Schizosaccharomyces pombe: one gene and its partner. Changing the gene in region 1 together with any one later gene gives a genetic interaction. Each region holds a gene or a part of one and is shown on either strand. Other genes may lie near its edges. The genes, in order: SPOM_SPBP8B7.31 and ftm6.

Evidence for each region.
Region 2: mutations in SPOM_SPBP8B7.31 (region 1) and ftm6 together harm fitness less than expected from each alone (positive genetic interaction), as found in Schizosaccharomyces pombe (one large-scale study listed by BioGRID).

The regions. Positions count from the first base shown.
Region 1 is NC_003423.3:3,696,356-3,700,063, reverse strand, and holds SPOM_SPBP8B7.31 (acid phosphatase), read right to left. Parts: upstream 1,874-3,708; 5' UTR 1,732-1,873; coding exon 1,650-1,731; exon of another isoform or gene 1,592-1,649; coding exon 1,340-1,591; intron 1,271-1,339; exon of another isoform or gene 1,265-1,270; coding exon 1,145-1,264; exon of another isoform or gene 1,092-1,144; coding exon 1,027-1,091; 3' UTR 718-1,026; downstream 1-717. Other genes in the region: G1 cyclin Puc1, read left to right, coding at 1-491; DNA-binding transcription factor Thi5, read left to right, coding at 2,370-3,708.
Region 2 is NC_003423.3:8,581-11,969, reverse strand, and holds ftm6 (transmembrane helix domain-containing protein), read right to left. Parts: upstream 1,402-3,389; coding exon 961-1,401; 3' UTR 619-960; downstream 1-618. Other genes in the region: ftm5 (transmembrane helix domain-containing protein), read right to left, coding at 2,956-3,389.

The DNA of each region.
Region 1 (3,708 bases):
AACTGAAGTTAGCTTGTAAAAACATCTATGCTGAGGATTTATTTATTCGTATGGAACGCCACATACTTGATACTCTTGATTGGGATATCTCAATCCCTACACCAGCTTCGTATATTCCTGTTTTAGACCCGATTTTTTTCTTAGTACTTGATGCATCAATGTTTGTACCTAATTTATTCAAATTTCCCGCTTCCAAAATCGCATGTTCAGTTATGAACATCGTAAACGAACATGTCGGATCGTTTCTTTTGACACACCCTTCTATGGAATCCTATCGCAAAGATGATAACTTTTTGTGGCCTGAAGACTTGGATACCGTAACATCATATATGGAAAACATGTCAAAGAGGTATGCTAATGAGGAATGTACTGATTTACTGTTTTCCTCACTAGGCCGTATTTCTAGTATTTTAGCAAAGAAATATCCGGAACAATGCGCAATGGCTGCCTGGTGCAACATGACTGAAAAGGATACTGAGCGTACTTTGTAACTTTAACATTGCTTCTTCTTCGATTTATATATATTGCAATGCTTCTAGACAAACATGTAATGGAGATATAATTTCAAAATTATATATTTACTTGAGAAAAGTAAGTGTATAGTGATGTAATTTTTTTTAAGAATTTTTATAAAATTCATTATATTAATCAATTAAACTACTCTGTTATGTTCTTTGTTTTCCTAAACCGGTTTGCAACTATGCTCATATGACATTATACCGTTTGTATATATTTTTGTTATTTATTTATATGATACTTACTTAGTTTGCAAAAAGAAAAGAGAAAGTTCATAAGAAACCCCATATTACAGATTGAAGCAATTTAGGTCTTTAATAGATTTAATTTCTAAATTTGATTCTTCACCCATTAAAAGTAGTATCAGTGTTTCCCAATTTTAACAATGATACTGTGATTAAACAAAATACATCTCAATTCGAATAGAGACTTCTAAATATAAGTTAAAGCACGATAGTTGTTTTCTTAAGATGCAAGCAAAATTGATTAACTTTTCTTTCAAAAGAAAAATTAACCATGCATATGATTTTTTAGAAATGAAAGAATATTTAGTGAGTTTTTTTTAATTTTCTCCACTTGTTTATACCTTGCTCAAAGGACGCACGATTAAGGCCATCAGGAACTAAACAGAATGTAACACCAAGTCTTTCAACCTCTCTGTTCCTAGACTCATCATCAAAAAACACCATTTCTCGATAGTCAATTCCAGATTCGTTGTGGATCTCTTTGAAGTGATCCATTTTACTACCTATTTCACAATAACTAGTTAGCAATATGATTATTGATATTTTCTGTATTGACAAAAATGTATTAAAAGACATACCTGGCCAAGCTTTTACATAAGTGAAAAATTCGATAGCCGGCTTAAGACTTCCATCTATTGGTACCTTCATCAAATTCAATGCTTGTTTCGCATACTTGGGAGCACAAGTACGGCTAGCAACGCACAAAGTAACTTTTTGGTTCCTTAGCTCTTGTAAAATTCCAGTTATATCTGAGTAAAAACAAATCTCTGTGCCATATTTGTCAATCAAAACGCCTGGGTCATTTTTGGAAGGCTTAAATGGTGCAGTGACTGTGAAACTTTGTTAGAAAATAAAACATAAAGTAGATCAAAGTAAAAGATTTAATACCATGGGTATCTATCCAAAGAGGCCACAGAGTGTAGTCTAAGTCAAAAACAACGCATTTTGGGAATTCGATATTTTTTACCATATTTGCTTGATATTTTATGGTATTGGTTATTAGGTTCGTAAACAACAAGAATGAAAGTCTTTTTAAGAGTGATTTCAAGTTCAAAAGATTGACCGTAACGCTTTCAAGAAGTTTACTGCCAGTTTGCTAGTTCGATAAGATTGACACAATTTTAGTTGGTACGTTGATGTAATCCAATTTTTTTTAAAGAAAAATATATATATTCAACTTTTTTTGCATTAGTAATGAAAAAAACTTAGGAAACAAATGTTTGAATTTCATTAACTTTTATGAATTATTATTATTTAATTTAACTGTCTTTGATATTCTCAATAAACAAATAAACTGATACCAAAAAACACTGTGTAAATACCATGTTTTATAAAATTGATCAAAACTGTATACTACCAAATTACAGTCAATTAATCGTTGTCATTAACATATTCATTTAAACAATAAATTTTTTTACTGCATTTAATACATTTATATTAACCTGGGGACTTGACAGAGCTTACTAGCAAATTTAATTTTGCTGATGCATACTATTTAAAATTGAAGTAGCATTGCTACTTACCACCTTCGGGTACCTGTGACCGACAGCGAAATTGATTTACCTATATGAAAATCTTAAATGTAGCAATTGTTATTATGCGAAGTTTATGTGTCCCTCTGACTTTTCTAGTCGTTCTTTGTTTTTAGAAGCCAAAGAGGAAGAGTATAAACAAAGAAGGCGTGTTCCTTTGGACAGTAGAAGAAGAGTAAGGCGGGCATGTCTGTCTTGTCGGGCCAAGAAAATTCGATGCAGTGGTTCTGAACCATGTCAGGCTTGCATTGCTACGCCTTCGCAATGTAAGTATGCTGATTCTTTAAAAGAGCGTACTCCCTCAAAACAATTTATTGCGGAACTGAGTCAAAGGCAGAAATGCTTCGAATATCTGATGGAATTGCTGTGTCCTTCTCTTCCTCATGACACACGTAGTTTAGTCAAACTATGCAAACATGTCGAATCTTCATTAGCTTCTGGAAGCGACGTTCGTTCTTTGCTAATACCCGGGTCAATTGATCAATCTGTTTTAAAGGTTGCTGCTACAAACAATAAAGACGATTCGTCTGCTGTCAAGTCAGCAAACGTTTCTTTTCCTTCTTCATCTACTCCCCCCTCTTCGGATTCAAATTTCTCATCTATTCAAAACACTGATCTTAATACTTCCATCAAGTTTACTGAAAATATATCTGCTAATGCAATTCATGTGAACCAAGATAAGGTTATTAGAAGTGCCAATAATTTAATAATCAATTCCCAACCCATACTTCCTGTACGTTCATTCTTAGATGCTCTAGGAGAACCCATATATTTAAGTCCGACGTCAAGCACTTATTTTTTAAATTCTGTTTTAGCATCCTTACAGTTAAATTCAAGCAATACCCCAGAATCACTGCTCATTGACTATCAAAGTAAAATTCCGGAGGATCTCTCTTCCTCTTTATTGCCTTTAGAACTAAACACACTTCAATCGACCCCTACTTCAGTATCTGTAGGTTCAGCTTCTTCACAAGGAACTCATGAATATTCAATTATAAATTTGACCTCCAATCACTCATCTTTTTCATTAAAAGCTCTAAAGAAAATAGCACATAATTTGTTACCACCGGTTTCTGTCGCAGAACGTTATGCAAATGAGTTTTTCCTCCGGTATCAAAGTTTTTTTTACTTTTATCCTCCATCTGTTTTTTCTAACCGTTACCAAATCCTTGCAGATGGTTTAGTTAACTCAGATACGTTGGATACAGGATTTCTTGCTGTTGCTCTTTTAATTGTTGTGCTTGGTCACTTCTCAAATAACAACATTAATGTATTGCCCAAGGAAGTTCAGCTTAGTCATATTGATTCAATGATACAGATTTCAGAGCAATTAATTAGCTCTTTATTAAATCGCTGTACCCTTTCTTCTATTCAAGCTGTCTTTTTACTTTCACTATATCATTTTTTAACTGGAA
Region 2 (3,389 bases), 3.7 Mb from region 1:
AAAAAACATGTTGCAAGTCGCCGAAACTACCTCGGCTTTTATTACTATGTCCGAAAAGTGCGCGAAATATTGGAATGGCTTGTAAATTATGCATTTAATCAAATAAAGTGATAGTAAGCGCAAAGTGTATGACTCAATGAAAATCGGGTGTATCAACTACTCAGTTGTTTACCATACAATGTATTGTAAATTATGGGTAGTGTCGTCGCTATTACATTTAAAAAATATATTATATTGAAGGTATCTAATAAGAAGTAAATGTTTTTCTGTGTAATAATAGTGAATTCTTCTCATCAAAAATATAAACGAACTGATTTTTCGTCACCTTATTAGGTTATACAAAGTCATAACAATGCAAAACCAAAGCGGATAGCATATCAAACTAAGAATATGACTTGCTATTAAAAATTAGTTTCGCTTGAGTTTTATTTTAAGAGTAGTAATAGTCAGAATTTATTGTGCTGATACACTTCAACTTACTTGATTAATAATTGAAAAAGAGAAATTTACAATTGAAATTGAAATGGATGGATTTGAAACAAACCATTCGTCAACATCACCGCTACTTTAAAAATGCTACTGTACTTGCGAGTATAACTACACAAAAGTACATATTTAAGCGGTTGCATCAAGTAATGTCATATATAGAAATACAATAATATAAACGGAGCACAAACTGAACCTCGTTCTTGATATATCAAGTCTTCTTTATTGTACCATAATGTTGTATGTCGTTGTGCTATATTTTTTTGTAAGTTACAATCATACTGATTGGCATAGCTTCTGCTTTTAACTTAACGGTGATCAAGCCATATTTGATCAGGTTAGGCAGAATTCCAATGATTGCATTAGAAGGTTTAGATCTTCAAGTCAATTTTACGATTACAAGCAAAGGAGAAATAGCAATCAAGCCAGTATCGAATACTCATTACACGTATATAGCAAGATACTATGGAATTGTTATTGTGATATGAATCTTGATGGTGGATTATTATAGCCCTGGTGCAGATCACTAATATCGGTTTTCGAGTAAGAATGATTCTTGCTTTCTGACCTAGTGACTTTCTCAATAGAGAAAAGTATAATGACTTGAAATTTAGAAAACGTTCTAATGGAGTTAATGGAGTGAGTTCTAATGAAACGAGGAAAAAATTTGTTATGATATACTACGACGCATCCAAATGTAAAGGATCGGAATTTAGATGAAGCCGATGGTACTTCCGAGTAAATGTACCAACAATATAATAAATAAATCAGCAATTTTACTGCTAGACAATATTTCACTGTGAGGCTTAGTCTTGGTATAAATAGAGGGACTCTGTCAAAACAAATATTTTGAACTAGACTCGAATTCTTCATAATTCTATTCACTTGAGTGTTTATTTTTTTTAACAATGCCATTACATTTACGAGATATGTGGATATCCACTGACGATTATAAGGATGTTTTACTTACGTGTCCTGTGTGGTATGAAATTAGTGAAAGAGAATTAAATCATGCTGTTTGGGGACAATATTAAAATGGTGAAGTTATAATGAAACAGTTGTTGGAAGCGATTAGTTTCAAAAATTAGCGACTCGTATTTTGTTTATTATTATTATTATTTTTTCTTTTTTTTTTATTCGCTGTTTTAAAATTGTTTCCAGCAATCTTCTTCCTGTTCTCTTTTTATCCGTTTGACAACACATTTTGCTAATGCTTTTTTTTTTTTTTTAGTTCAAAGAAGACTGGTACGAGAAATAAACAAGTTGAGTAGTTTCGAAAGCAATTGGCTCTTTCTTTTTTTTTTTAAACTTGTCTTATTAATGTTAACATAACATTTTGTTTTTAGTCCGAGTATGTCGTCAGTTGAAAACCGTAACGGTTCTCATTGTGCCTGTTCTTCCGGTTTATACGAATAAGGTAAGAACATTCAAGAAAGCGTTTGATATGAAGTCTGTTCCATTATTGCTCTTAGTGCCTGACAAACGTTGTTAGTCTGTTTTGAGTTTACAAGTTTGTTAAGCTAATAGCCATTCATTGATCTTCATTGTTACATGCTTTCCATGGAATAGTTGGAGGTGTTTACTTTTCAACTTGTTAGCGATCGCTTGCTAACATTTTTAATAATAGGTACTTTGTTGTTCTCAGTGTGACTGGCACGAACCAGCAAATGTTTACTCGATTGAACAAAGGCGTAGTCATGATGATGATCTTCCTACCATTAAGGGTTCTGATGCTAGTACTCAACAGTATGAAAGAAAAACTTATATTACCGATGCTAGTCCCGAATCTCAGAATCTGTTTTTAAGCAAAAGTAAAGAGGAGGGAGTTATCTTCTTATGCATACAAGTAAGCTTTTAACCTTGATTCTATTTATTCACTTTTACCATTTACTACTTTCGCAAATTCCTGTTTTTTGTTGGGGATATGAAGGGGAATATAAGGGTAAAGTAGATGAAATGGATGTATTTGAAAGTTGATTTGGATTCGATTTATTACTTTGAATCCCCGTTTATTATTATACGTTTATGTCGTTTTAAAGAAAACCATGCGATGTACTATATTAATTTTGTAAAATATATATTATAGATAAAAAAATTGTTGGGAAAATGGGAAAGCAAGTTGAAAATAATTAAATTCAATAAATTAGCAAAATATGTTTATGAAGGTAACCAGTTTTTTCTTTTTATTTTTTTTTTGTCTATATGTCAGATTCGCAACTTTTAAGTTTGAACAAAACATTATTTCACATCGACTCAAAGGTTATGTGTATTTAAAACGTTCCAGTAAAAAAATATTCATTTGTAAAAAATAAATAGGTGGTATATTAAATAAGAATGAACTTACTACACAATTTCTGTGTAAAAAAGTGAGATTAAAATAACTGGATATTAATCCATTGATAAACAAATAATAAATAAAATAATCCCGGTAACCCCTTTAAAGGTGAATCAAGTAAACCATGGTTTTTGTCAAATCATTTTCTCTTGAGCCTCTTCAGCTACATTTCGATTGTAGGCAAGTGCTTCATTATGGGTGGGAAACATTATGTAACATGGAAAAGCAATTTTCTCCATAAAAGTGAAAAGATCACCAATGATCACCGACAGTCTGTAATCAAAGTTTCCAAATATAATATTCGACAGGTAATGCAACATTGGAGATGCACAGAATATAAAGATAAATGCATTTAGCATTCTTCTAAAAAATCTGGCTTTTGAAGCATTTTCGTAAGTTGTTACAGACGTGCATTGTTTCAATAAATGACAAATAGAATACACCCAAATTGCAGGAGATACCTCATACTGGATCATGTCAAAAATCTCTGATACTACATATACGTCTTTATATAAAGAAATCCAGTATACAGAACATAAAGCAATGACAATACTAATTCCTTTTATCA